Notamacropus eugenii: one gene and its partners. The protein of the gene in region 2 interacts with the protein of the main gene of each other region in a pairwise test. Links are inferred from orthologs where the notes say so. Each region holds a gene or a part of one and is shown on either strand. Other genes may lie near its edges. The genes, in order: MYL6B, SPA17 and AKAP7.

Region 1 (10,226 bases), on a different chromosome or scaffold from region 2:
GTTCCATGCCTTCCCTAATGCCGCACAGTAAATGGCCCCGGAAACCAGGCTTAAATCTCAAGCACTCTTTCCACCAAACCTGGTCCAAGGACCAAGGGGGTGGGGGAGAAGCAGGGAGGGAAAGAGTAAGATGAAATCTTACACATAGGCACAAACCCCCTTCCCCTGCCCCCCAAATAACAGACCAGAAGCTGGAAGTCCATTGCTTTATTACGGAAAATCAAGAGAGGGTAGGGGGACTGACGCAGCAAGTCTGTCCGCTCCCACACGCTCCTTCTCCATTCTCAAGGCAACAAACATTTACTAAGCGCCTACTACGTGCAAGGCACCAGACTTTCATCTCCCCAGGATGCAGGAAAACCTTCTTTCTGACTGGAGAGAAGCAGGATCTGGAGAGAGAGAGTGGTGTTGGGGTGGTTTGGGTACCTAGTGCACTGCGGTCCCTCACAGCTCCCCCACCTCCTATCCCTCAGGAAAAAGAGGAGCTGCACATAAGCTCTCCCAGGGAAAGCAAAAGTCATAGAAACGGCTTCCATTTACATTCTTTACTGCTTTCCTTTAAAACACTTTCACCTACTAATAGTTGGTTCTCACAACAACCCTGAGAGACTGACAGAGTAAATGTCATTCATTTTACGGAGGAGGAAACAGGTTTATGGGAATGAAATGACACGACCATGCAAGCCCTTCATAGCAGAGATGACATCTGAACCCAAGGGCTTGAGTCCATATTCAATGATATTTCCAGGGTATCTTAATGCTTCCAAAGCCCCCAAAAGGTAGGGATGGAGCTGAGGAGATAGGGCTGGGCTGGGCTGGGGAATCACTCTACCTTGGGGCCTCAGCTTGACATAATGTGTTTCAGGAAGGCTGCCAAAGGAAGATGAAAGAGGGGGGTCAGAACCATGCACCCCTGCTCTGCCCTCCCTCCTTGGAGTATAGATGATTTCTCCACTCCCCAGGACGACTGCCTCTCCCAACTCACACACATACTCTCCAAACCTCTTACTTCCACTCCTCCCCACCCTCTCACCCTCATAGTTGATGCAACCATTGCTGTCTTCGTGTCCAGCCAGGAGGGTTTCTACCTCTTCCTCTGTCATTTTCTCTCCTATAGCAGAAGCAGATAAACTTGGAACCTATTCCCTCCCACCCCAACTTCAGCCATACTATTTAGGAGTGGTACTTCCTCATCTAGTCCCCCAAACAGAGGCATCTTAGCCTTCTCTCTCCTTTCCTTTTCCTCCTTCCTCCCCAGTCCCATGCCCCCTATTACAAATTTATCGATACCTTGCTTTTCTTCAAAATGACTTCACTCATGCTAGCAGAATACCTAGGAAGCCCAGGTTTCATTGTCTCCAGGACAAAAGATGAAAGTGACTCTCTCAAAGCCACCCAGCCAATCAGTGGCAGAAGAATTGGAGGCTGTGTCTTCTGATTCATCACTTTCCCACTACACTTCAGGTTGTCAGAACATTAAGAAATTTCCTAGGTCTTGCTCCCTGGAGTTTGGGGTCTTCCCCAATTTGGCTACTTTCCTAACTATTCTTGCTTCTTTAAATATGTCCCTTCCAGGAAATGTCATTCCTTGCCTAGACTGGACTGAAATGGCCACTTCCAATTGCCATGCCTGCCCTGCCTTCCTCTTTCCCATAACATACCTACCCTCCACAATGACCATGAAGCCCACGCCTGCACCTGGGCTGCACCTTGTTCTCTTCCCTTGTTCAGTTCCAAAAATCTGGGATCTTACCCTTTAATCTCAAGTGAACTTCTCCTCCACTCATGAGCCATCTTTTTTACAATCTTACCCAGGGTAGTGAGGACGTGTCGGAGTTCAGCCCCCATGACTGTACCATTCCCTTCCTTATCAAACACTCGAAGTCCTTCAACATAGTCTTCATATGTGCCTTGGTCCCGGCTTTTAGCCACTGATTGGAGCATGGGCAGGAAGGTCTCAAAGTCCACACGTTTGGAGTTCAGCTCTGAGGAGGGGTGGGGGGGATAGAGTGTGCTAAGTGACCCCTTCCTAGGACTCCTCTATCCAACCCTCATTACTTGGGATCTCTAGCCAGTAGATAGTTCCATTAGAACCATCCCATTTAACCCATCTGTATCATTCTAGTTCTATCTGGTTGTTTGTTGTTTGGTTTGTTTTTTTTTAGCAAATAGAATTTTACTGTACGTGCATGTAGATTGTGTTTTATGACACATTATAAATCTTTTATATACGGTATATGAATATGTCATTAAACTATATTTGGAGGAGTCACTGCTATTCTCATCTTTTAGTAATACTTTTGTCTTATCTTTTTAAGGGTCTTTTCTGGCTTCTGCCTAGTTGAACATTAATAGAAAACCTCTCCAGTATCTTTGCCAAGAAAACCCCAAATGGGGTCACAAAGAGTCAGACATGACTGGAATGGCTGAACACCCATGACAAAGTGACATTCATCAATTCATTTGAGCTAATAATTATGAACCTTAGCCAGTTCTGTCACTTTCCAGTTTGTCTGTCTGTTTTTCATTAATCCCTTACATTTTATTATCATAAACACAATCCAGTTTGAATTCAGTCAAAGGACCACACCTGAGGACCTAGAAGGCCACATGTGGCCTTGAGGCCAAAGGTTCCCCACCCCTGAATCTAGTCCAACCCCTATCTGAACCGAATTGCTTCTACAAAATCCCTACCTATGGCAAAGAACCATCCCCACCTCCAGTATTACCTGTAAGGGTACCCAGACCAGCCCCACTCAACTCACTCTTAGAGTACTTAACAACAACTTGTGAGCCCTTGGTCATCATTTCTTTTTTTGTCCTGCTACCATCCTCCCTGTTATGGCTCATAATTCCTGCAGTCTCACCATCATTCTTTGGGTGACCCAGAACCTTGAGCACCTCAGCATTGGTGGGGTTCTGGCCCAGGGCCCGCATCACATCCCCACACTGATTGTACAAGATCTTCCCATCTCCTATTCGGTCAAACAGCTGGAAGGCCTCTTTGAAGTCTGGGAATGGGGAGGGAATTGGGGTTAGCCAAAGGGTTCCCTCTATCCCCAGGTTGGAAGCAGGGCTCAGAATAGTGGACTAAGGTAGAATACAGCAGGAGGAAGAAATTCTGAGGACAGAACTAATGTGGAGGGCAGCTCTGGGGCTGTAAAAAAAAGAGAAAGAGAGAGAGAAAGACATAGGGAGACAGAAAGACAAGACTGTGACAAGGGATTTAGGATAGCAGGGTGGGGGTGGGTGGTTATGGTCTCCTCACCCTCCAGTTGGTCCTTGTTAAACTCGATCTGTGAAGGAAAAGACAGTGTGAAGAGGGGTGGGGTGCCATGAAACCCCCAGTCCAGGCCAGACCCCCTCCCCCATCCCTTATAATTGGCAGCCTCTGTGGAGTGGCCCAAAGGGACCCAGCTGAGAGCTAAGAGCGCCTGAGTCCCATTCCCAGCTCCAAGCCTTAGGAGAATACTAGCAGCGGGTATGTGGGAGGGAGACCTTCCTGGGAAACAAGGCTAATCCAGCACCACCTGTTCCCCTCCCCCTGGCTCTCCCAACCCTGCATCCCTCACATAACCGGCAGTTGAACAAAAGCTAAATTTACCCCCACACCCCCAGCTGTGATTGTCTAACAAGTCCCCCTCCCCACCCTCCCTTCTCAGAGCAGCAGGCTCTTTCCCTCTCTTTCAGCCTCTTTTCCTAGGCCCTGAAGAGTCCACCCTCTGATGGACACTGGCCCCTTCTTTCTCTCTCTTGTGAAACAGTCCCAAGGAGCTGAGCATCTCTGTTCCCAGATTCTTGTGTTCCCCACATCCCTGTTCTCCATTCAAGGTGTACAGGGGTGCCATTATATGCCACATTGACGCGGCAAGAGGGGAAAAGTGAACATGGGAACAGCAGAATTGGGGTGCCTGGCCTCAGAGCCCTGCTAACCCCATTCTATAGACTTAGTATCTGGCTTCTGGGTTTGTTATGGGAGGGGCTAAGGCAATCCTCACATCATTATAGCAGCTCCATTAGCTCCTCCCCCATTTCCCCTATCCCATCTCCATGCCCCTTTATACCATTCATCATTTCTCCAAATCCTTTCCTCCTAAAGAAGCCTCCCCATTCTCCCATCCCTGCCCCCCTCCCTTCATCTTGACCCTTGTGGGCTGAGAGACTCACCACCACTTTGGAGAGGTCAATGGGGGACTCCTGGGGTTTGGTGGGAGCTGCTGAGGCAGGGGGAGCAGCTGGTTCAGGCTTGGGCTTCCCTGGAGGGGCAACGGCTGGCTTGGCAGCAGGTTTGGGGGCAGCAGGTCCCAATGGCCTCTTCACAGGGGCGTCTTTTTTGGGAGCCATGGTGAATGATGGATGACGGGCACAAGAACAGTGCCCGGAGGGGGCACTCAGTTTAAATAGCCAGGGAGTAGTATGGGATATCAAGGGGGCGGGAGCAGAGACCAGACTGGGGTGGGGGGGGTGAGGTGGAGGAGAAAGACAAAGACAAAGTAGCCTGCCTGCCCTCTACCTCTCCTGCCTCCCTCACTCTGGGCCTCCTGCCCCAAGGTCTCTGTCTTTCTGCCCACATTTCCCAAGGCATTTTACCAAGTTACTGCCCCCTCTGAGAATAAGGGAATGGGGGTGATGGGGAACTGGGTGCCTAGATGAAAAGTCTCACCCTTGGGTGAGCAGGAATCACTCCAACAGAGAGGACCATGGTATCTCAGATTTATAGTCACAGATAGAGGAAAGGCTAAGGCAGAAGAGAACTCACACATTTCAACCCCTGCACCCCCTCTCCTCTGGGAGAAACATTTTCTCCCCCTGAAATCTTAATCTCTTGCAGACTAGGAGTGGGATGCATCTGGGAGGAGGGAAGAATTCACAGTTGAGGGTGAAGTTATGACTCACTTCCTCCCCCTCCCCAAAGTCCTTTTCAAGGATCAGGCTATTGGAAGTGGGGTATCAGTATCCATCACCCCTAATCCCAGCTGTTTACACTCCTGCCCCTACCCGGCTCCAGAACCACATATGGTAAGGAGCAAATTGGGAGGGAGGGAAATAGGATAAAGAAAGGACAGTGTGGGAGGCTGGGCTTTGTGCTCCAACACACTATCCCCTTGGCCGGCAAAGGCAGATGGAGGTCAAAGTTAACATACACTCAAGCCTTGGTATTACAGAAAAGGGTCTGGAACGACTTCTGGTGCCAAGAGGCTGTAGCAGGGTCCTGAGTCAGGAAGAAAGGCTAATTCTCCATCCCTGAGTGAACCCAAGAATGAAATCCTAATGAGCCTCCCCATTATTCATTTCTCACACACCAGTTTCAACCCTACCCTACCCTACCCCCTGACTCCAGGCTGGCCAGAACCAGACACAGGGGCAACATGGACTTCCACCCTCACCTAGGTCTGTGCTGCAGGTATTGATCCCTATGGGATCCAAGGGAGAGGGAAAGAGATGGGGAGAGTAACAAGGTTCAGTTGAAAATTCATCATGTTTTAGATAAGGAAACTAAGGTAACTCTAAAAAGTAGATGGAGAAATCCTGAAATGGTCACCTCTGAGACTATAGTTCAGAGAAGGATACCATCAAGAATCTATGTTTGAATTCCCTCAGATCTAATACTAACAGAGGTCCAAAAGGTCAAATCTCGAATTCGAGCGCAGGCTGGAATCTTCTGTATTTTTAGCATATTTTTTTTTGTGGAGGAAATAAATAGCTGTCCTATATCTATTGAGTATCTTTCCATTTCATATTTTGGGGAGACTCTAGACATGGGCCAAACCCAAGTTTTAAGAGAGTTCCCCTTAGGCTCTCGGTTTGGGGGTGGAAAGAAAGAGTGTGACAAAAAGATCATGACTCCTCTCTGAAAAAAGACCAGGCTCCCACAGGACTGAACCCAGGTCCTCCAAAGTGAGTCCACAACTGAAGTGGAAGAGTACAAGTGCCATCAAACTGGCTTACCAGTAAGTGGGGCTACACAAGGGAAAATCAGCCCAGAAAACTAAATGACTTGCTCAAGGGCACACAACTGACCAGTGTCAGAGTCAGGATTTCAGCTCATGTCTGTTACCTCCAAATTCAGTGCTTTCCACCATACCACCAAGTTTTCCCAGCTCTGTTGCCTGAGTTACTTCCCTTCTCCTAAGCGTCAGATTCTCTATTCATCAAAAGCAGATTAAAGCTAGTGCAAAGGTGAGTAAAGGGTGTAACCCAGTCTCCCACACAATAACTCTGATGGATTCAAGGAAATGATTGATTCAATCTAATCTAGTCCTAGCCACAGAGCCAAACGCCACCCTTAAATTTAAATTGCCTATGTCACTGAGTGGTTCTGATAAGACCACTTATGGGTTAATTCTGAGCCTGCCCATCCCCAAAGGATTCTGGGAGTGGTAGTCTCAGCCTATGTCTGGACCTCATGGAAAATGTAGTTCTTTTCTCTTAAAATGGTTGCTGAAAGCATAGTTGCAGACTTTCAGCATTTAAACCTTTAAACAGTTGGTCTTCACACTTTTTTGATCACCTGTCTTATGCAAAAAAATTTGAATATACCCTCATATATGTATACTTACTTATACATAATATATATCCACTGCCTTACTAATAGTCTATACATAATGAAACCTTCAAAAAGAACAGGAGTTGTTCAAGAATGAGATAAATATCAAATAACCAACTTTTTAAAAAATTATTTATGTATTATGATCATTTTAGTGAGAGTAATGTGATTGAACTTCATTTCTTTTTAAAATTTTGATCTAATAGTCAATCAACAAATACTTATTAAGCACCTACTATGTTCCAGGTCAGGTTACTGACTCCCCAGTGGCCTTGAGGCCACATGTGGCCCTCTAGGAACTCAAATAGAGCCCTTTGACTGAATCCAAGGCTAATCTCGAGGACCTAGAGGGCTACGTGTGGTCTTGAAGCCAAAGATCCCTCACTCCTGTTCCAGGTACTATGCTAAATGCTGGGGATATTAAAAAACAAAACAAAACAAAATCCAAACACAGTTCTTCCTCTTAGTAATATAGTGGTTTTCAAGGTCTGGTTCTAAATTTACTTTATCTCTTCATAATAATAGTAAATACAGATATAGCACTTTAAGGTTTGTAAAGCTTTCATACATATGGTTTTATCTTACTGAATCCTTCTAACAACTCTATGAAGTAAGTGCTAGAATGAGGAATCAAGTTTAGAGAGCTCAAGGGACTTGCCCAAGGTCACATAGCCACTAAGTGTTTGAGAAAGAGTATCAGCTTAGATCTTCTTTATTCTAGGTCCAAAAGGCTATCCGTCTCATCACTTTGCTACGTTTTTACTTGGTTACAACTGAAAAGACATTTCACAATGATACAATGATGCCAATGGAAAAAGTGTAATGTGAGTTGCTTCCTGAATCAGTGTTCATTTTTCAATACAATCCACCAATTATGTAAAGGATTGTTGTTGCTGATAATGAAATTCAACCAGTAGATTTCCATTTTCCCTAATGGGTTGGGGGAAGGACATGGTCTCTAGTGGTAAGGTTCTTATAACTCTTCCTGGTAGGGGAGAAGGGGGCAGGGGCAGGGAGAGGGCAAAAGTCTCCTATAGGGCTTCTTCATTTGCTTCCAAGCTGTATTATGGCATACAGTGGTCTCGGGGAGGGTCTTGATGGGAGAAGAACTGCAGATCCAAGACTGGTACTCCAGTGCTTGATTCCTGAGTGCACAGGCAGCTGCCACCATTGGTTATTGGTGCTACCTGCTCCTTGATCCTATACTTTCTGTGTCTGCTCCTGTGCAATCTCTCTTATGAGTAGGTGCATGTGTGCTCAGGGGTGGACTAGGGGCAGAAAGTTAAGGTGAGCAGCCAGGAGTTAACATTCTCTGAAAACATTCCCCTACCCCTAGCCTGGCTGCCTGACTATCCATTCTGTTGTTATTGCTCAGTTGTGTCCAACTCTTTTGTGAACTGTGGACCATAGCACATCAGCACTGTCCATGAGGTTTTCTTGGCAAAGATACTGGAATGGTTTGCCATTTCCTTCTCCAGTGGATTAAGGAAAATAGAGGGTCACAAAGTTTGTAAGTGTCTAAGGCCAGATATGAACTATGGTCTTCCTGACTCCAGGCCCAAGGCTCTACCCACTGAATTACCTAGCTATCCATTTTGTAGGGATACCTATTTTTGAGGAATCAGGTTCTTTCTTTGAAGCCTAGACCCCAGGGTCCTGGAGTGGTGCGTATTCAGGTCAGGAAACATATGAGGAGCCCACAGCTGCTGCTATAGCCAGGGCTAGGAAGGGAGGATAGAGATGAACTGAACCTGCTGGTAGATGTGGGTAGGACCCTGGCTGATTTTCTAGCTAAGAGTAAACTCAGCCTGCATCCAGGTGGGAAATACCTATCTGCCTACCTGCCTGCTTGCCCAGGAATGCAGATGTTTGACTGTTCCCTCCCTGGGAAAGGGAGGATGTAAAGTCCCCAAAGCCAGTAGGATCTACAAGCTCATGGCACAGCTGAGCTGCTCCTAAGTTCTGGTATTTTCTTCCCACAGCCTAGTGAGTTGTCTTCCACATACTTGAGATACCACTGACTTAAACGTTTAGTGCGCTGGCTCCCCAGGGGTCTTAATTTCCAAGGAGTATCACTACCTTACTTCCATGGTCTCCCCCAAACCCCAGCAGGGCTCCCACTTAGATTGGGTGAGTTCCCTCTAGGTTGGAGGTGAGAGAAACCTTTGAGAGGGAAAAGACTGAAGGTACTGCTAGAGGGAAGGAAGTTAGACTTCAGGAAAGACTTTCCAGAGTGGCCAGTAAAGTTGGCGCCAAGTCCCAGCCAAAAGCAGTGTCCCAGGATAGGGGCTACTACAGTTTCAGAATGAAGCTTAGTCATAGGATCAAGAGCTGGAAAGGACTTTTTTTTAGGATCATACATTCAGAGCTGAGACCATCTAAGGTCAACCTGAGGTTAGGTGACATGAGCAAGGCCACACAGCTCTATATGAGGGGATGGGAGTCTCAAATTCTTCCTTCCCTGTCCCCCACCCTCACCAAACTCTTGCCCATCTTGAGAAGTAGCTCAGGTGGAATAGTGAAAAGGGCAAAATATTTGGAATTAGAGGACACAGGTTTGAATTCCTACTTTCCCTAGCTCCCAGGCCAGTGATTTGTCTGGACAGTCTCCTCCTGTAGCACATAGCATGCTGGGCTTTAAGTCAGGAAGACCAATTTGAATCCTGCCTCATATTAGGTAACTTTGGTAACTCAGGTTCAAAACTCATTTGCATAAGACTCTCCTCATTGGCGGAGATTGATAACTCAATGTTCCACAACTGAGTGAGGAGTAGAAATGATGAGCGCCTGGGAGAAAAGAGATCTTAGTTTCTAGTTTCCAGTTTCAAGAGAGACGATGCAGACCCAGACCCTTTTCAGGTCCCCAGAGGGAAAGAAAGATTTTGGGAAAAGGTGAACAGCACCTTGATTATGTTCCTATACACAATTTACTTTATTGCAACTTTGGGGAATTTCCCACTGTGGAGTAGGTGATGTATGAGAGAGAAGGGAGAGAGAGAGAGAGAGAGAGAGAGACAGAGAGACAGAGAGAGACAGAGAGAGACAGAGAGACAGAGACAGAGACAGAGACAGAGACAGAGAGACAGAGAGAGATCTGGAACTCTTTCTTGGTTAAGCTGAGATATCTTACTCCCAATGGGAGAGCTCATTCCTCTGTATATTGTCTGGTACATATGTATACTTTCTCTGGTTTCTGTTTGTTATCTGTTTGGTTAAATGGGTTCATTCGCTATTCACTACAAGTATTCTTTGTGGAGCAGGCATTTTGTAGGAAGTAAATCAAGCCTTGGATATATAGCTTGGGGGACTCTTTATTCATTAAGAAATAAAGCTCGTCTTGAACCTAAAAATTACTTCCTCTTGACTAATCATAGGGCAGCTAAGTGGTAAAGTGGATAGAGTGCTGGTCCTGGAGTCCTCTTCCTGAGTTCAAATTTAGCCTCAGACACTTACTAGCTGTGTGACACTGGGCAAGTCACTTGACGCTGGTTGTCTTAATTCCTCAACAGTAAAATGAACTGGAGAAGGAAATGGCAAACCACTCTTGCATCCTTGCCAAGAAGACCCAAGTGGAGTCATGAAAAGTCAGACGTGACTGAAATATGACTCACCAACAACAGGTTAACAATATTTAAGGGGATGGATAGATATAATTCTAGATAAGCACTCCATTCTCTGA
Region 2 (10,612 bases):
GGTGATATCTGTTTATAGTAATAATAATACTAGTTAGGAAGTATATAGTGCGTTAAGGTTTGCAAAGCACTATTTGTATGTCGTCTCTTTTGATCTGAGACAGGTACTATTATTGACCTCACTTTATAGATAAGCAAAATGAGGTGGAGAGGGATATTAAAGTGACTCTTCCAGAGTCACACAGATAGTATGTTTCTGAGGCAGGATTTCAATACAAATCTACCTAAGTACAACACACTGGCTACTAACACCCCACCTGGCTTCTTTACTGTGCCACCTAATATTGTCATAGTGGGGAGATAATAATTTTACACAGTGGGGGAAAGATGGGGCAGGAGTCAAAATAAGATAAGGAGAAAAATGAAAAACAAAGATGATCAATACAGAGAAGCTGATAATTGGGTTAATGCCTAAAGAGGAAGAAGAGAGATGTACCCTTCCATACTGCTTCAGCTAAACTTTTATTTAGAGGGAGAGATCCCTAAGATGACTCTCTGGGGATCTTGGTGTTTAATGTTATCATTAAATTTCTATTGTTTCCATGAATTTCTATATGACAGATAAAAATACAGTCCTATAAATGCTTGAGTAATTTATGTTGCAAATTATGATGTAAAAATTACTATTATTACACTGGAAGTGTCCTTGTGAGGCATGTTGACATAGTGAGTAGAGAGCTGGCCTCGAAGCCAATAAGGGCTGGATTCAATCCTACTTCTTACACACACTGGAGGTATGACTGGGCAAATCATCTACTGTTTTCAATAATTCCCCAAGGAATTCTAAATGTTGTCTACACTGGTAAGAGGGAATTTCCTCATTGGGTATACCAATGAAATCACAGGGTCAGTCCAAAAGACATACAAAGAAATGGACATAAGCATACAATATCCTCTAATAATAACCTCACAATACAGAACAGCCTTAAAAAGTATTTTTTTCAGAGAGATTAGGAGAGGTTTTCTTTTTTCCAGTGTAACATGGCAAGGAGAAAGTTGGGTATAAAAAGAGATGAAAGTAAGGGAGAAAAGAAAGAGAAGGGGATAGAAAGAAAGTAGTTCAGATTTGGAATCAGTTAAATCTGTTAGAGCAGCCATTTTTGATCATTTGTTTCTTTTTTTATGTGATTCTTTAAGAGGTTCTCTTTCATCTGGAAAGTACTTATCTCTTTACTCCATTTTTAAAAAAATTATAATTTTTTTCAAGCACATGGAAAAGGGTAGACAATTTATATATGGTGGACGTGGGCTTTTATTAGTCCACTTGAGCTCTATTCTGATGATAGCATGGTGAGGAGGTGACCCTTGGTTCTGAAATTCCATGTCAGTAAAGCATAAGGTGCCAGTCTAACTGAATTCAAAGAGGCATATCACCACAGTGTGTTGGTCACCAGCTGATTATTTCTTTTCAGTCATAGCAACTCATGAAACAATCTATTAAGATCTAGAGGGTCTGTGATCTGCATCAGTAGAAGCTGGAAGTATTTAAGTAGTATTAGTTGGAAGACTAGTACCAAGAGACCATAAATCTGGGGTTGCTTTAATTACTGTGCTCTGGAAATCGTGACTCAATATTTATATAGTGAAAAGTTAATGAGTTCTAAAATTACAAAATGAATAAAGTTTCTGCATTGCTTTAACTTACAAAATTAATGTTGTATTGACATAATTAAATTACTGCTCATAATACTTTATATCTTAGCCCAAAGTCTAGAATTTCTCATCTTTTTCCCTAGAGAATATATCAAAGTATTGGAAGGTAGCTAAATCTGTTAGGTCATGACCTAGTCATAATAATTAGATGCTGAAATGATCGGAAATGTACAGGAAAAAAGGGCTGGGCAGAGGTTCCTAACAATGCTGGGAAAGGGCAAAATTTTGAACTATATTTAGTGTGGGAGAGATGCTGTTTGAATTATACCAGTCTCAGAGAAGGTATTCTCCCTTTCTCTTTAAAATGAACAAGAGTCATGTGAAATGTGGGTTTTTCCAGTCACCTTACCCCATTGTTGGATGAGTATCATTAATTGGTGTAGCTTAAAAAGAGATCTTGTCTCAGGTAGGATTAGGCTTTAGTATAACTTTCAGCTCCTACCAATCAATTTTGGATAGTGGTGGTGTTTGGTTGTTTTTAGTTATGTCCAAGTCTTTGGGACCCCATTTGTGATATTCTCTGCAAAGATGCTGAAGTGGTTTGCCATTTCCTTTTCCAGCTTATTTTATAGAAGAGAAACTGAGGCATACTTACTTAAGGAACTTGTCCAGAGTCACACAGCTATTGGACATTTCAAGCCTGAGATCACATATCAACTCAGGAAGATGACTTTTCTGACCTCAGGCCTAGTCCTCTGGCCACTTTGCCACTTACCTTCCTGTTTTGGTTACTTGCAGTCTTGGGTAAATGATCCTACTAACTTAAATGTGTTATGACTTGGAGAATTCTGAAGGTAGAAGTGAAATACGTTGTGTGACTTTTTTCTCAACTAGTCACTGGCTGAAAAGGCAAATCCCTGTCTCTGGGCAGGAATAAGGCCTTGAGAGTGTGGGGGGAAGAGGGGAGGGTACAATGGAGAATAGAAACAAAATTGCCACCATTACAGAGTTGGACAGTTTCCTTTATAAAGCAAAGTAATCATTTTTGGTGTGGGATCCTAGGAAAGCACAATTATGCACCATTTAATTTAAACTATGTAGAATTCCCTCTTACAGAATACTACTTTTAAGTGAAAAATATTTGGATATGTTTGGGAGTTCAAGGAATTTCTTCCATGGAGATTTTTAAGAAATAGGACAGACAGCCAATTATTGAGTTAAAAGGTGCTTGAAAACCGAGGAGCAGAATGAATATGCTGGAGAGATCCTGTCTTGCTAAATAAGTCCTTGAAAGGCCAATTATGAAGGACAAAAAGAAACAGGTTAGAATTAGTATAATAGAAAACAGTGAAACTCATGGAAGAAATAAATTTCTTCTATTGGAAGGGCATCTACCTAAAAGTCATATATTTTTGATTACTGTATCAAATACCAAAAACTTGTTTTTGAATGTCACCTGTCAAAACAGACTTATTGATAGGTTTCCTTAAGCAAATTTCATTGAAAATCAAATAATTATTCTTTAACTTAAAAAAACCAAAACACTTTAAAAAGCCCATTTTAAGCTTACTCTCTCTTTTTTCTAGTAGGTTTTCAAAATATGCTGCTGCAAAAGCTGGAATATTGTCCGGCTGCTCCCTCAGAATCTCCCGTGTCAGCCCTTCGAGAAGATTCCCAAATCCTTGTGGAATTCGGTAATGCGTATTGGAGAATGGAATCGACATCTCTTTGGAAGGAACTGCCTATTGTACACAGAGATTATTAAAGAGCACTGAGTTCATTTCAGGACTTCATTTGCACAATTAAAATGCTAAAGTAAATGATTTCTGATAGACAAATACTTCTCTACTTCAACTTTTCTTGAGCACAATCTCAGGCTCATCTATACCTTCAAAAAGTTGTAGGCTTTCCTTTGATAGTAAGGGAACAATGGCCCATTGAGTGGGCCAAATCCTTTATTTCTACAACAAATATGTGGATAATTTGATGTAAAGCCTTCTTAAACTATGTATTTTAATTTATTTGGATCTACATGGGAAAAATCATACCAGATACTTCTGTACTTCCCAGAGATGTTATGTTAAGGTAAACCATTAGGTTAATTAAATATTATGATTATAGTGTCCTTCCTTCAGGGAAGATGTAGAGATGGTCTTGTCTGTAAATAAAAACCTTTAGGCAAATTTTGCTCAAGAACTAGTATAAATTTAGAGGCCCTCCATCACATCATGGCCCAAGTGATGACATAGCCTCAAATTCCATCTTTACCTCATCTATCTCTGCACAGGGGGGTCATGTCCCTCTCTAGATGTGCTAAGCTGCCATTCCTGGGGGTGAAACAAAGTCCTTAAATCTCAGAGGCTTTGGAGTTCTTATATTTGTTGGCTTTGTCTTGGCCAGTTCTCCTATCTTGCAGTAAAAGTTTACATCAGCTTTAGAGGGCGTGAATCTCCAGGGTGGGTCCCAGGGGGTGGCAAGGCCACTTAAGGCCTTGGTCGCTTAGGCCGGGGAGAAGGGGGACCTCGGGGAGAAGGGCTGCGGCCTCGGAGAATGGGAAAGGAGGGTGTGAACTGGGCCCGAGGGGAAGGAGGTGTGGCGGAGGGAAGGTGGAAGTTCGGGGGTCGTGATGAGATCTTGGGCCAGGCTGAGAGATGGGGCTTGGGGGGGGCCAAAGGAGCTATGGGGCCGGCCCCTGATCCTCCAGGCCGAGCCAGAGGCGACCCTCTCCGGGGGGCTGGGAGTCGCTACTGGGGTGGTCTCCGATTCTCGGGGAGCCGTATGGGTCCCCGGGTGTAGGGAGCAGTCGCCTTGAGGGTTCCGGGGAGCTCGCCAAAAGGGAGCAGGGGAAAGGGGGAAAAAGCGGCCGACAGTCGCGGAGACGGAGTAGATGGGCTCCCGTCCTTACCTCTCCTTTCTCCGGCTGCCGGTGCCGATGGTTCCGGTTGTTTCTTCTCGTTGCCGGGTAACCGTTTTCCGGCAGATTCCTTGTCTACGGCGGCCGAACGGAGCAAAAAGCTTAGATTCGATCTACTGGCAGAGCCACCAGCCGCTTCATGTACTGAAGATGAAAGAGGCTGGGGTGGGGCTGGGCCCCGCCCTCATCTAAGCCCCGCCCCAGCCAACCTCACCGTCTCCGCCCCGAGCCTCACACTGTCCCCGCCCCAAACCCTGAGGGGCATATCCTGGGTGCCTGGGAACTATGACGGGGGCCTCGGGCCTGCGGGCGCTGCTATTGTTGCCGTGGCTCTTGGGGGCCTGCGGGGGCGGCGGAGCAGGTGAGGTGGGGGCCGGGCCGGGGCCTGGCCTTGGCCCTCGGCCCGCTGCGGCTCCCGGAGCCTCCTCCGCAGGCCCGGCCCTCCGCCGGGGCCAGAAGGGTTGAGAAGGCCCTTCCCCGGCCTTGACCTGAAGGGGCCGCTGAGGGCCGGCCTGGGAGGAGGCGCTGGTGATCGCAGGCTTTCGTGGGTAGTAGCGGACCCCTGACCACTGCATTTCCAGGGTTGGTGGTAGCTGGGTAAAACTTCGCCCCCTCCCCCCGTCCGTCAGGAGTGACTTTTGCCTCTGCGAGGCTCCTGGGGAGCTGACAAACGGAGCCTGCCTGCCACAAGCCCAGAACATCCAGGCGCACGCGGGACTTGGGGCCCAGTGGTACCTAACCTGGATGACTGGGGAGCTCGGCATCTGGTCCTGTCCTGCGGTGTCAGTCCCCTCCTTTTTATGAGTAAGATGGGCCTGAGTCGCGTCCGTGGCCGCTTAACTCTGCCCTGGGAGCAGTGCCGAGGCCCCTGGAACTAAAGACCCCAGGGAAAAGGGCACTCCCCTCATGAGGGATTGATCAGGACTCTGTTCCTCTCTTTCTCGTCTGGCCTCTTACTTCGCCTCCGTCTTTATTTTTCTTTCAGTTATCGCTATTTTACATGTTATCTTCTCCCCTTTATCTCCCCCTTCTCCCTCAGTCCAGTTGAAGACAGCACTTCATGCTTTCTACTGCCAACCCCACGAGAAAAGAAGAAAAAACTTAAAAAAGTTGCAAATAATAGAAATGTTGGGGAGGGCTTTTTTGAGTATATGCATTTGACAGCAATAAAAAAAAGCCCTATTGTAAGAATGTCTTCTTATTTCTGTCCAGATCCTGGGTAATCAAAAAAGCATCAATCGAGGAACATTTATTAGGTACCTACTGGGTGCCAGGTTCGTCTGTACTTGCTGAGGATACAAACATAAACACTCCATACTCTCAGGGAGGACAGCATGTAATATAAATATAGAGAGAATGAATGTATGTAACAAAGTAGATAAAAAACAAGGCAGTTAGGGAGGTAGGACGTTTAAACTGAGGAGCTCAAGATAAACTGTATAGAAGATGGGGCTTGATCTGTGTCTTAAAGGAAGTGAGGGATTCTCTGATGCAAGGGAGGGTAGAAAGTACATTCTACAAATGGGAGATCGCTGATACAAAGGTGGGAAAATGGAAGAATGAATGCTATGTGAAGATCCCCTGGGGGGAGAGGGATTAGGTATTCCTGGCCTAGTAAGGACAAACAATCCTGTCACCAACTGTGCGTGGGGCAAAAAGTCCCTGATATCTCTTAACCTGATTTGAGAGATATATGTGAAGCATGATATCAACTCTCTAGGTTAACTGCTAATTACAAAGAGCAAAGAAGCTAGCACAGCTAGATCTTAGAGTCTGACAAGAGAAGTAATATATAGTCTAGAAAGAGGTTGGGGCCAGGTTTTGAAGGGCTTTAAAAGTTAAACATAGGAGTTTATATTTTATCTTTGATGCAATAGGGAATCATTGGAATTGACTGAATAGGGGAGAGACATGGTCACATATTCGTTTTAGGAAAGGCAGATATGTAGAGAATGGATAGGGAGGGACTTAAGGCAGAGAGAGAGACCAATTAATTAAAAAGTCATTACTATAGCATAGGCAAAAAGATGATGAAAGTCTGAACTAGAGTGGTGGCTATGTGAGTAGAGAGAAGGGGAGATGGATTCTCCAGAGATGGGGAGGCTTAAATGTCAAGATTTGACAACTGATTGTCTACGTGGGATGAGAAACAGTGAGGAATCAAAGATAACTCCCAGGTTTTATATGTTATGGTGCTACTTTCAACAGAAAGCAGGAAAAGTTTGAGAGAGGAGTAGGTTTGGGGGGAAGCTAATAAGTTTAATTTGGAAATGTTGAGTGTGCGGTATCCTGGAGGCACCCATTTTAAAATGGCTGATAGACTGCAATAAACTCTGGAGAGATACTGGGGCTGGATATATGAATCTATGATTCATTTGCATAGAGATCGTAATTAAGAGCCCTATTATGTTGCAAGGTGAGAGGCAATGTGGTGTAATGGATGGAAGACCAGTTTGGATGTTTGTTAGGACATCCTGGGTTCAAGCTCTTCCTCTGACACATATCAATCATGAGAATCCTGGGCAAGTCAACTAACTTTTTAGTACCTCGGATAACTCTGGATTCTAAAGTGCTGAACAGCTGTAGATGTGCATTGATAGTGTTTCCTAACTTGGAATTCTTCACACAATGAAATTCACAAGTCTGAAAAAAAAATGTGCAAGGCACCACGGGATATAAAGAAAGAAAGGCTAGGGATACAAAGAGAAGAAGTTAAAAATAAAGGAATTAACCATGGTAATGTTCCTCCATGTGCCTTTGTCATGTGTCAGTTTTAGAATCTGAACTCCTTGAAGACAAGGAATGTTGTCTCCTTTATTTACCTCAGGATATAGAGTGTGGTGCCCTTGAGAAGAGCAGTGAACTGGAAAGTGTTCTGTAACCTGGGTTTCTTTCTTTGCCATGACCTATGGTTTTGTGACCTCAGGCAAGTCACATGACTTCTCTGGGCCTCAGTTTTCACATTATCAAATGAAAGGTAGATAATTTTTAAAGTTCTCCCTTGCTCTATGAATTTAATGATTCTCAGATCTGTTGCAGAGTTGTGCATGATTGTACTCAAAAAAGTTTGTTGATGATGATGGATTGAGTTGGAAAGCTCTCTTCTGCCTTTGTGTTACAACTTGCTCTCATTTCTTTGCTGAGTTTCTTCTTTGGGCTTATACGCAGCAAGTGTTCTTTTGTATTTCATCTCCCCCAAATTCACTCCTTTTCTCCCCACCTAACTCCTCTGCTCCTGGTTATCATTTCTGTTCAGTATGAAGCACCTACCCCAGACAAGGACCTCCCACACATATGCCTTACTTTTGGCAAACTGCCTATATGGTTATGCAATCACTGGGATATTGTATTCTGTTCTTGGTGCATTTTGCTAACTGTCCCTAGCCCAGCAGCCCTATAGGATTAGGTTGGTTCATTATAAATAGGAGAGACCTTAATGATTGGGCTGTTGCTGAGAGTGACTGTCCACTCAGAGTATGTGGGTGACTGCTTTGACTGTGATACTGCAATAGGTATCATCTAAAGAACCTTGCAAGATTATTTGTAGCTCCTGGAAAGGAAAATTCCATCTTCATTTAATTCTGATCTCTCCTGTTCATCATTTGTCTTTAGGTCACAAAATATCAATATCTTTATTCTCGCGTAATGATTAGAATGTGACTTAACAAAGTACTATTTCTAGCTGCATTTTGATGGACATATTACTGAGATGATTTAGATTGTAAATTTGTTATTAATAAAACACTTCAATATAGGCTTAGTGTTAAAAAATAGGAATTGTCTTGTTAAAGCGAGTTTTTTGTTCGGTCTTGTTAGTGAATCTCTAGGACAGAATCTACATTTTCAACTACATTCTTTTTTGTCCTTTTGTCAGTTTAATTTTGGGAAATAGTGAATTTATACTAAGGATTTGTGGTCATACTTTTTCTCTCAGACTTCATCTTTGCCTCAGTCTCTATATTTACCATTAAGATAATACTTTAAGATAGTTTCTCTGACAGACATCTATAAATGCTTAGGAGTGATCACTTCAGGACCCCCAGCATGTCAAGAAGTCATAGTGAATAGTTTGAGGAAAGTTCATCATTGGTAAAGAGCAAACATAGAAAAGAGAAAAACCAGAAGAAAGGAACACATTGGATAAATGTATACTTCTTTAGTTTGCTAATTCAATACATATTTATTAAGCTCAGAAATTTTGCTTGGTGCTGTGGAGGAATAAAACAATGAATAAAGCATTTGTCTCTGACATCTAGACTCAGTCACTGGGGGTGTCAGAAACCTTAGATAATGTAGGAGAGATTAGGAGAAGGCATTTATAAATTCCCATTTGTAAGTATGTAACAGGAGACAATTAGTGGTAGGAAAAAGAGGCATTCTTTCAGCATAGAAGCATAGAGAGTAAGGGGGTAAAGCAAGCTGTAAACTGAATGGAATGAGGGTAGGAAGATGCCTGGATGGCAGTGGACTCTTTGGGAATTCAACATTGCTCACCTGCATTTGATGTATTGTGTTGATACATATTCCGGTTAGGCTATTTACTTGTTAGGAGGAATAAGTATGAGATTGTGGGATTAAATATCTATTCTCATTGTTTATCTGCTTTTTTAGGTTGTAATCTCTCTAATGGAATTATTCTGCCTCCTAGGTGTTAATTTTCGTTTTGCTTCCTACATTGGTGATCACATGGTGTTGCAGAAAGAACCAGCTGGAGCTGTGGTCTGGGGTTATGGTAAAGTTGGAGGCATTGTGATAGTGACTCTGCGCCAAGCTCAGGAAACCATCATGAAGAAGATAACCTATGTGAAAGGTAAGGCAACCCCTTTTCAGTTCAGCATCTGTCCTCTTCTGCCATCTGCTGGATTACCTGAAAATGAATGCTTGAGCTCCATTGCAAACAGGGGCCAAAGGTAATGCTGGAATTTGTGGTAGCATTTTCTGTAAGGAGCATATACATATAAACTACACAAATAGTTTGCGAAGGAAAGATCAGAAAACTAGAACATGAAGAAACTCACAGTTGGTGCTAGGTCAGGTGAATGTTGGGGAAGTCATATTGTTAGGGATGCGTACAAGGTGGGGCAGATGGGGAGGCTGTACCAAGTGACACAGGAGTTTAGATTATGTGGGAATGTGATAGTCCTTAATGCTTGAATGGAGTAGACTTCCTCAGGAGAACATGAGTTTCTAGTCATTGGGGGTGTTAAAGCAGAAGGTAAATAACCATTTTGGAGGAGTGCTGTAGAAGACATTTATCTATGAGATGGACTAGATCAGGAGTTCTTAAATTGACTCCATGTACCCTGAAGACATCTGTGAATAGATTTCAAGGAATCTATAAACTTGAATGAGAAAAAAAATCACATCGTTATTTTCAGTAACTTTTGGTTTCCTATGTATTTTATTTTATGCTTTTAAAAACATTATTCTGAGAGTCTTTAGGCTTCACCAGACTGCTGGAGGACAGAAAAAAAGTTAAGAAACCTTGGACTAGGTCAGTGGTCCTCGTGTGGTCAGTGGACTCAGGGGATCTTGTGAGGTCAAAATTATTTTTTGTAATAATACTAAGGCATTTTAATTTCCCAAACAGTCAATATTGGTAAATATAATCCCCCCCAAACAAAAGCTCTTTAGAGGGTCCTAAGTAATTTTAAGAGTGTAAAGGGGTCCTTTACAGAAAGTTTGAGAACCTCTCATCTAGGCGAACATTCTCGTGCTAGGACTTCATGATTCTTTGTGTATTTAAGTGGCATGCAATGAAAAATTTTGGAGGACTGAAAACGTTATTGTTGATTTTTAGGACTCTGGTATCTAACTTTAGTAATGATGACTTATGCTTACATAGTGCTTTACATAAGTTATCTCATCTGATACCAACATCTTATGAAGGGGGGCTAATATTATCTGCGTCATATAGAGGTGGAAGCTGAGGTGTAGAGAGATTAAATGACTTCTCTGGGCTCCCAGGTGTTGGAAGAAGAGATTTGCACTCAGATCTGCCTGACTCCATTACTAGTACTCTTTCCTTAATATTTGCTGACTCTCCATATCATTTCAGTAAATCAAATGCTGAAAGGCATGGTATTGTAGTAGATAGTGGACTGTT
Region 3 (9,959 bases), on a different chromosome or scaffold from region 2:
TCAGTGTTCTTCTCCCTATATCATGCTTTCTGTAAAACCAAAGACTTGGTATGGTTTAGACAGACAAAGCATAAGCATCATAGAGATAGGCAATGTGATTCTTTCAGAGAAACTAAATAATCAGCTTTTAAAAATCATACCTTGGAAGACAAATCTCAGTATTTCTTTTTCAGTATAAAATGAGGTTTGTAAAATATAGTTTTTTTTAAATAATTTAAAATATCTTAATAATTAGTCAATATAACCTAAATAAGATGTGGATCTTTCACCTTATGGCTCAAAGTAATAGTCAGTAAAATTATATAAATACACTTGAAAGCCCTACACTTAATAAAGCATGTTAAAAATTGCTGGCAGATATATACTGTTTGGTATTTCACTAAAACCCTATTGATACCAAATAAGAACAAAATGCATATGATGTCCCTTATCACACAAAAATGACAAATTTTATATAGGATGCTCCAAAGCTGAGATATTAAGACTTAAAACTAGCGTTTTGGGATACCCTGTATTTAAAAAGTCAAATGCAAGTTTCCTAAGCAAGTCACTCCACTAACAGTTCTATGAGAGATGTATAGGTTCATAAGAACCTTAAAATCATGTCGGACAACTCTCTCATTTATACATATGGAAACTGAGCTTCAGAACAAAGAGTGACTTGTTAGAAATAACAACTAGAATTTCAACAAAATGATGTTAACCGTATAGACTTTTAAACTTTGCAAAACTTTGTGATATTTAACAAGCCACTTAAAATCTCAGTTTCTTGGCTTCTTCATTTACAGAATGACACAAATACTATCAACTAATATACAAGGATGTTGCATGTATGGGGAGGAGAAAAAAAGGGAAGGAAATAAATACTTAGATAACACTTACTACATATGAAGCACTGTTCTATGTGCTTTTTCACAAATATTACCTCATTTAAGATCTATCCTGGGTGATAGGTGCTATTATTATGCCCATTTTATAGTTGGAGAAACTGAGGCAAACAGAAGTTAAGAGACTTGCCCAGAGTGGTGGTAGTGTTCAGGCATGTCCAAGTGTTCGTGATCCCCATTTCCAGTTTTCCTGGCAAAAATACTGGAATGGTTTGCCATTTCCTTCTCCAGCTCATTTTTCTACAAATGAGGAATTGAAGCAAACAGGATTAAGTGACTTACCCAGGTTCACACAGCTAGTAAATGGCTGAGATCACATTTGAACTCATTAAACTGAGTCTTCCTAATTCCAGGCCCAGCACGCTGCCACTTTACCGCCCAGGGTGACACAGCTTACTATTATCTAAGGCTGGATTTGAACACAGATCTCCCCAAGTCCATGCCCAATGCTCTAGCCACTAGAAAGTAAGTATGTTAGTATGGTGATAGTAGGACTGAGATGGCTAGGATATACCAGCGTAGATTCAACAGGATTTTATAACCAACTGAACCAAAGATAAATGAAAAGAAATAATAAATTATAACACCAAGTTTTTAAACACAGGAAACTGGATGAATCATGATGGCACTTAGAGAATAGTGAAGTTAAAAAAAAAAGTGGTTTTTTGGGGAAAGATACTAGCTTACTAGATCACATTTATTAGTAGTATAACCTGGATAAAGTCCTTTTTACTTTGTGGAGCCTCAATTTCTTATCTATAAACTTGGGGGGTTGTTTAGACCATCTTTCATACTCACCCAATTCCTAAGATTCTATGATTTTGTCTTACGCTTTGTTAACATTATTAATGGAGAGAAAGACTGAATAGGGTCCTAATTTTTCATAAAAAAATTTTTTAAAGCAATCATATCAACCACTATGAACTCATGCCTTTCCTTTCAATTTAATAGTCCCTTTTCTCTTTCCTTATGAAATAAAATCTCTCACTTTAAATAGACAACTTCAAAATAATCTCAAGTTGACATTACTCAATTCTGATTGCTACATTTCCTCCAGATTTTCATAGATTAATGTGCAAAAACACATTGTTTGATTTTGTGTTTTTTTGTCCTACAAATTCCTTAAGGATAAACATCCTCTTTTTCTATTTGTTTTATTCCTTCTTACAGCTCTGTCCCCTTGATTCTTATCTCCAAAGCTCTGCATTAGGTTCTACAAACAGTGGTCACTCAGTAAATAATGTTTGCTTCTAAAATTAGAAGCAGATCACTAGATTCACTGGATCTAGCATCTTAACAGTAAGATAAGGTTATTTCTAATCCCATAATATCATATTAAAGAGAAACAGCTCAGATTGTCTGAGTCCCAAATTTGCATTTTTACAAGGAAAAGAGCTGCAAAATTAAACAGCAAAGAAAAGAGGGTTGTTTCCTTTTTTTCATGTTTGCTATACAAATGCTTCATCTGTGGATCTTGCCATGAACTTTAGCCTAGAAACCAGAGAAAAGTACTGTGAAACAAAAGTGAAACTTAAGAGTCTGCATTTTGTTATGTGGCTGGGAGATTGTATGAATTTATATGCGTGATTGAACCCCTCCAGGCCTCAGTTTCCTCCACTGAAAAAGAGAAAGTGTTATGAGAGATGACCTCAAAAGTCCCTTGTGGGTCTAATTCTCAAAACAAAACCGTACAAATCTATGTTATCAAAATTCTACCGAGAAACAGAGGCACCTTAGTATAACAGAATTATTATATGAGGGCCATACTGCTGCATGTGCATTTTTTTTCCTTTTAACTGAGCTGTAAGGATTTGTCTGCTTCCCACAGCTCTGCGAATTCTTATTACCTCAAGAGGCAGCGTGTACCAGCGGAGAAAGCTAAGCCCTCTGGAGTCAGAGGACCTGGGTTCAAATACCCGCGTTGATACTTAGTAACTGACGAAGTGAAATGGATTAAACAAGGGCACTTTCTCATTTTGTTGGAAAGAAAATCGAGGCCAGGAAAGGAGGGATACCAAGCCTCAAAAGCAGGAATTTGAACTCCCAGGGTCAATGTCTTTTCCTCCACTCTACCATGCATTTCGGTGCAAAAAAGGAACAAGCTTATCAAGCCCATGATGTCACCGGTCCTCTCCAAAAAAGGACAAAGCAATACTGGTTTCTTGATCTGTAAAAGGAGGGGGTCTACTAGCCCAAGGCCCTCTTTTCCCGCCGTGGTAACTCTAATGTCCTAAAACGTTCTCTTGGCATTTACCGGGTCTGGGGGCACTGGGGGGGGGGGGTTCTCTCCTGTCTGCAGGTCCCCCACGGTTATCACACCCCTGGGGCTGGTCTCAGCGGGGGAGAAGGGGGTCTGTGCTCCTGACTGGAGTTCCCGAATGACTGGGAAGAGGGTGAGGACGCCTCCTCTTTGGAGGGGCCTCAAAGTCGGGGTGACGAGGGTGACACCACCACTCCGGCGCCTCCTCCTTCTCCTCCTCCCAACCCCAGGGTGGCCGAGAGCCCGAGGAGGGCGGGCCGGCGGAAAGCGTCGGGGACCGTGGGCCGCGCGGAGCCCCCGGCGGCGGCCTCGGCCCGGCGCCCACCCCTTGGCCCGGCATCGCCCTGCGGGCTCTCACCGTTTCCCGGGGGATCCATCTCCTGGGCCGACCTGAAGGACTCCTCCCCGGAGGCAGAGGAGGAGGAGAAAGCAGAGGCTGGCACCGCCCAGGCCCGCAGTAGCCCGCCCGGCTTCCCGGGCTCCGGAGCCCTAGGCAGCACGAGCCCTGGGGGCAGGAGGGCTGGGCCGCTACGGGCTGCGGGGACTGGGAAAAGGCAGAGGGGAGCGGGCAGGAGCGGAGGGGGAGACGGCGGCCAGGCACGGCAGGCCGCGCGGCCCGCACCGCCTCCTCCTCCCACCACGGCTCCGGCTCCTCTCGGTCCCCCGCGTCCGCGTGACTGCTGCAGCGGAGGCAGAGACGGAGCCGGCCCGGGCTGCGGGTCCGCTGGGGCAGCCCACGAGAAGCGGGCGGCTAGGCCCGCACGGCAGCGGCGGCAGCTCGGTGTCCCGCCGGCATGCAGCAGCAGCGCCCCGGGCCGGGGCGGGGGAGGCGGTGGCAGCACCAGCGCCACCAGCGGCGGTGGTGGAGGCGGCAGCAGCAGCAGCAGCAGCATGCCCCGGCTCGAGGGAGCGCGAGGGAGCCGCCGCAGCTCGGGCTCTGGCCCGGGACGGGGCCGCAGGAGCGCCCCGACTCCGCCAGGGGAGAGCCCCAGGGGCGGCCGCCGCTGCGGCGCAAACCCGGGCGGCCTGGGAAGCATAGAGAGGCGAGCGACGGAGAACGCCAGGTGCGCCGTCTCCTCCGAACGCGGCTCCGACTCCCCAGCGCCCCTCTGCGATTTCCTCGGTGGCCGGCTTTCCGGCCCCCCAAGGCCGGCAGACTGCTGCCCCGATGGGCCCCTCCTTCACCCACTCACTCCCCAAGGCGAGCGCCCTGCGCGAGTTTGCAGACACAGCTGAGAGAGAAGACACGTGCGGAAGATGGGAGGGAGGGGCTGGGGGAGGAGCAGGTGTGCTCGTGGGAAACTTGGGCGCTCGAGGGCATGGAACGTCCTGTGCCCCAGGCCCCGGGAATTCCGCGGGGAGGAGCGCGGGCACAGGGCGTCATGGGGCTTGGGCGGCGGGGCCAGGGGCTTTAACCACCCTGTGCAAGTGTGCTGGCCGCCCCTGGAGAGTGGAATGAAAGGAGAAAGCTAAGTGGACCAGAGTAACTGAGGCCAAGCCCAGCTTCGAAGTAGGGAATCCACTGATTTAGTTCTCTCTGCAAAGTGAAATAGACATCAGCTCTGGGAAGAAACAGTAGAACTTTTCTTTAATCCCCAGAGTAACAGTTACATAATAGCTTTAGTCAACTGCAAAAATAAAAACAAGACTAGGTAAATCCTTCCGCTAATTCGGCCAGCATGTTTAAACCTACTACGGTACCGAATACTGCTACAATTCCTTCAGCTCTCTAGTCCATACACCACAAACAGAAAACAAAAGAGGCTTTGGAGCATCCCCTCAACCTTCACTTATTTCACAATACAGGTGTTTCACAAATAGTGCACAGGAGGCACTGGAGTTTGGGGACTCCAGCCTCTAATAGGTTCACTCTTGATCTGGTCAAACAGGCGGACACCTTCAGAGGAGTTAATCTTGCTTTATTTAGTCTGGTCTAGTCTTCCCAGAAAGGTTGCTGATAATGGAAGAACCAGCTCCTACAGCATTCCCTTCTGGAAGGGGCTGGCAAGAAGAGGGGGCAACTACCTCTACTTCTCCATGGGGTCAGTGGAGACAGGCACAGCTTGTGTATGTACTCCCCTAAGTCCCCTTAAACTTCGATGACTTACCTGGTGGTTTCCCCCCAATCAACTGACCAGTGCCCACTTTCTTTATAGGTCAACGGACAAAGAAGGCATCTTGCCAACATCAAACTCACAGGTTATCTTTAGCAATATCTTCATTCTGTAGAAGCTTAGCAAATAGCAATTATGTCACCCCTTATCTCACAGGCAGCCTCAGTAGGACTGTCTGTCACTATGATTCTAGGAATTACTATCTAGGATCCTTGGGGCTATTCTGGGAGTTATTATCCAACACCTTGAAACCAGACATTGCCAGGGCCATGGATTCTAAAAAATTGAACTCTAAAAGGGATAACAAAATCCTCCTTACATACAACAGGGTATCCTAAAAGTCTTACTGCAATTTTAAGCTTTGACAGCTTAACTATACATCCTATTTCTTGTGCACCTGTTATGTGTCTGTGGAGGTATATAAAAAATGACGTTTGTATTTTGGTTTTTGGTTTTCTTAGACCTTATTTTTAAGAAACCAACAATCCATTTAGAACAAGGAGAAAGTGTTGGGTCCCATGATCTCTAAAGTCCTTTGTAACTCTTATGTTAGTATTTCTGTGAAATAGACAAATCACTGTGAGACTGATACCAGGCAGAACACCAAAAAGATACAAAATGATAAGGGAATTTACACTGCACTTATCTGGAAATATTGAATTTATTATCACTTGAACCAAGCATTTGTCATCACTTTAATACAGAGATAGGGATTGATTGGACTTGTGATTTCATTGATGAAGGTAATTCCTGGATGACAACTAAGAATCAGAAAACTGAAGTTATAGATTTAGAGCTTGGGGGGGAAGAGGAATTTCTTCAAGACCACAGTGTCTAAATGCTTCATTTTGCAGATGGGAAAAAAAGAAACAAAAAACCCTGGGCCCAGGGAAATCAAGAAACTAGGCTAGAGTCACACAGTAATACTTTAGGGAGGATTAGGAACTGCAGTCTTCCTGGTTCCAAATCCAGTCCTCTAACCATTTCATCAAGGTGCATCTCTGAAGAGTCTCTTTGAACTAGACCTTAAAGGATGGGTAGACTCTCTATAGGCAATAACCAAAATAGGGCAATTCCAGATGGAACTAATTGCACACATAAAACCATCTGAGTGCCATAGTTTTGGACGAGTTGGATAAATATCTCTTTAAGGTTTACAAAGCAATTTATATACCTCACTTCATTTGATCATTGCAAAAACCCAGTGAGCTGAATATGAGGAGTATTATCATTCCCATTTTACAGAGGAAGAAAACCAGTGCTATAAGACTTTCCCAGAGTCACACAGCTAGTTAATGTAAGAGATAGGTTTCAAACCCAGTTTTTACCTCATTCCATGGCTGGCATTCTTTCTGCCAATATAGAGGAGGGAAGGCAAGGAATATATTGTGGGAAAGTTGGTGATCCATTATGACTGTTGAATAGAAGTGCAGGTCCTGCCTATTTTTAGGTCCGGTGTTTTAGTGCCTTCCATGTAACAAACTCTTAATAAATGTTAAGTGAATAGTAAGATAAAGCTATAAAACTATGTTGGGGCCAGAGTATAGAGGGCCCTAATTGTCATTCAATTCCAAGGACTTAATTCCATAGGCAGAATAGAGCCACTGAAGTTTTTTGAGTAAAGGCTTGCCATGATCAGAGATATACTCTAAGGAAGAGTAATTTCAGATGGACTAAAAGTGAGGAGGTAACTGAAACTGTTGTTTATGTCTGACTCTTAGTTTTAGAGTTTTCTTGGCAAAGGTACTAAAGTGATTTTCCATTTCCCTCTCCAGCTCATTTTACAGATGAAGAAACTTAGGCAAAACAGGGTTAAATGACTTGCCTAGGATCATACAGCTAGTAAGTTGTTTCAGCAAGGACCCTGACGTACACAGAAGGGCCTGCTGTACAGGTTTTTAGATCTGCTTTTCTAAAAGGAAAGCAGCTTTTGAGAGGTCAACAATCACTTTAATCAAGTGCATGTCATTCACTTAGTTCAGGGGAAAAAGTCAGCACCTTGAACTTCAAAGAAAATACAAAGAAATAATAATCAATAGACAGGGCTTCCAACTATCTGACTGTAAGCAATACATACATCACAGATCAATAGACAGATCAAAATTTCTGACCATACATACATACATAGTTACCAGAGAGAGAAGCACCAACATCTGGGTTTTCAAAGCTGGAGCTCCTTAGCTACTGCCCAGTCTTATCTGGCCAAACACTTTCAATGAGTAAGCCCAAAGTAAAACCTCACCTCAGAGTATTTATACACTTTCAGAGCTGGAAGGCAGGACCCTCTGACCCACTGCCTCAACAGAAATTAACAAATGGTACTTGAGGCCTATTAATGGGTGGGGAAGATCTAATGAGCATTACATAAGTGTCAGAGGTTGAATTTGAGCTCAGGTCTTCCTGACTCCAGGGTCAGATACTTTATCCAGTTGGCCAACTAACTGCCAAAAACGAAATAGAGAACTCTACAGAAGAGTTGACAACTGCAGTTGTCCACTTAAGGCCATGAAATCTGGACTAAGATTGTAGCAATAGGAATAGAAAAGAGTAGACAGATATTTTAAGGAGACAAATCAACATTTTATATCTGTTCTCTCATTTGATCCTCACAACATTGTGAAATAGGGGCTATTATTATCCCCATTTTGCAGATAAGGACACTGGGGCTATGAGACAGTAAATGACTTTCTTAGCAAGTGAAAGGCTCCAAGCTGTTGATGCTTTCCACAATGTGATACTACCTCCTTTTCAGAGCACAACATGGGGAAAAATTCCATTTAAAATCCAGAAAAAAATTCTATGTTGCTGTTTCCATGGAATGGTAGAATCATCTGGTTCAACCTACACCTCTAGAGCATGAATCTACCCCTTCTACAACATCCTCCAGAGCTGGTCACTATAACTCCACTTCAAGGACGCTGACATCAATTTTGGACATCTCTGTTAGGAAGTCTTTCCTCAAGTTAAGTTGAAATTTTCCTTTCTACATCTTCTACAAATATAGAAATTCTGTCTTTGAGACTAAGTGTAATAAATCCAACCCTTTATCGGCAACCCCTCAACTATTTGAAGACACTTGCCATGGCAACTATGGTCTTATCTAAATTATGGATACAAATGTTAATATTCACAACTTTTAGGTTATTTTTTCAAATGAGGATCCATTCATAACAGCAATCCATTCTGCATTTTTATTTTGCTTTTTTTGTAAAGTAGCATAGAATCATGGTTTAGAGGTGGAAAGAATTTTAGAGATCGCCAAGTCCAATCATGATAAATGATCCATATGGCCACAAAAGGTTTATAAACAAAACAGTTCATTTTGCTGGCCTCTACCTTTCTTCAAAAGACACCTTCTTTGAAAGAACACCAGATAGGAAAATTTTAAGTCTAGGGAATAAAATTAATTATAAGCTTAGTCTTATTAACTTGGGCCTTTGAAAATCAGATGGTAGAATTTTTAACATCACTTAGTTCTATTTTGACAATAAATAATCAATCACATTTGTAATAGTATTTTCTAAAATACTTTCTTCACAATCACCCTATGAAGTAAGTAATTGCAAGTAATATTATCCCTATTTTAAGCTAAAATCTTCCAATGGATTTCTGATCTTACTGATACAAGTATTCCTGACAATGTTGCAGATTTCAATCTGTCTGTTTCTACCCATCCCATGTGATCCTTCTCCATATCTTTCCATGGGTTTGCCCTAAGAGTACACTCAGTGTTCCTGGGACTTTCTTTGCTTTCTTTTGGCAACATGAGGATACCCATGAAGCCCAATGAGAGACTGCCAGGCAATGATCCCTCACTCTACTCCTATAACCAACACATCTTTTTCATTTATGCATTTCTTCAATGATTCCTTTCCTGCATTACAAATAAGGAAACTGAGGCACAAATTAATCATCAAGGTCACATAGTAACTATTAGAGCTTAGGTTTTCTGACTCCAAGACCATGTTCCACTATCCCACTGTTACTATAGTGTCACCTGGCATAATAAAAAGCAGATTATATTTTGCCAAAGATTTGTAACTTGAAAAAAATGGCCATTGCTATCCTCTTCTTTCTCCTAGTTGTCTCTATCAACCTCTTAATTAATTTATTTTTGCTACCAAATTTGTATTTGTAATCAGACATCATGGATGGCATATTAGAGAGAAGGTATGTCTTTTTCTTCCCCAACACACCCAATTTCTATTTTGTTTCAGGACTAGTTCATCATTTACTTTGGGACCTTGAAATTTTGAAAAAAGAAAAAAGAAAAACCCTGTGCTATCCATTGTCCTTTCTGGGAGGTTCCTACGTTATATGGTGCTTTATCTAGCCCCTCTTCTTGTATAAGAGGTCTCAGCATTTGTCATATAGAAATCCCTCTGTCTCAAGAGTTCTAAATTTAGACATCTCAAGAAACTCACTATCCCTCCTAGGGAAAGCAAAACAAACAAACCACATTGTTCAGAATGTTGCATATTCTATTTCCGATTTGTTCTAGCTTCACAGTTCTGCTATAAGTAGGTATGTTCTAGTAAACGTTTAATAACTAACTCATAAAAAAATGAACCCACCACATACTTTAAAGTTAGTCTACATTACTAACATGTTGTCTATCGCTTTCTTAAGTCTAGAAATCAACAAAATAATAAATCAAGCTCTGATTTGTAACTTTTTGCTGATTTCCAAGATGTAAAT

The links.
Region 1: the proteins of SPA17 (region 2) and MYL6B interact in binary tests that used the Homo sapiens proteins (3 or more experiments, as listed by UniProt). The two-hybrid records come from large-scale screens. The link is inferred for Notamacropus eugenii from reciprocal best matches to the Homo sapiens genes SPA17 and MYL6B.
Region 3: the proteins of SPA17 (region 2) and AKAP7 interact in a two-hybrid assay, tested with the Homo sapiens proteins (3 studies listed by BioGRID and IntAct). The two-hybrid records come from large-scale screens. The link is inferred for Notamacropus eugenii from reciprocal best matches to the Homo sapiens genes SPA17 and AKAP7.

Annotation. Positions count from the first base shown.
Region 1 is NC_092874.1:231,420,309-231,430,534, reverse strand, and holds MYL6B (myosin light chain 6B), read right to left. Parts: upstream 5,013-10,226; 5' UTR 4,345-5,012; coding exon 4,168-4,344; coding exon of another isoform or gene 4,146-4,167; intron 3,297-4,145; coding exon 3,269-3,296; intron 3,012-3,268; coding exon 2,868-3,011; intron 1,986-2,867; coding exon 1,812-1,985; intron 1,112-1,811; coding exon 1,034-1,111; intron 871-1,033; coding exon 842-870; 3' UTR 833-841; intron 390-832; 3' UTR 193-389; downstream 1-192. UniProt on the Homo sapiens protein: Regulatory light chain of myosin. Does not bind calcium.
Region 2 is NC_092876.1:171,508,948-171,519,559, reverse strand, and holds the start of SPA17 (sperm surface protein Sp17), read right to left. Parts: upstream 4,609-10,612; 5' UTR 4,498-4,608; intron 4,478-4,497; exon of another isoform or gene 3,861-4,477; intron 3,335-3,860; 5' UTR 3,317-3,334; coding exon 3,163-3,316; intron 1-3,162. Other genes in the region: SIAE (sialate O-acetylesterase), read left to right, coding at 4,792-4,867, 9,155-9,316. UniProt on the Homo sapiens protein: Sperm surface zona pellucida binding protein. Helps to bind spermatozoa to the zona pellucida with high affinity. Might function in binding zona pellucida and carbohydrates.
Region 3 is NC_092873.1:215,991,897-216,001,855, reverse strand, and holds the start of AKAP7 (A-kinase anchoring protein 7), read right to left. Parts: upstream 4,280-9,959; 5' UTR 4,185-4,279; coding exon 3,506-4,184; intron 1-3,505. UniProt on the Homo sapiens protein: Probably targets cAMP-dependent protein kinase (PKA) to the cellular membrane or cytoskeletal structures.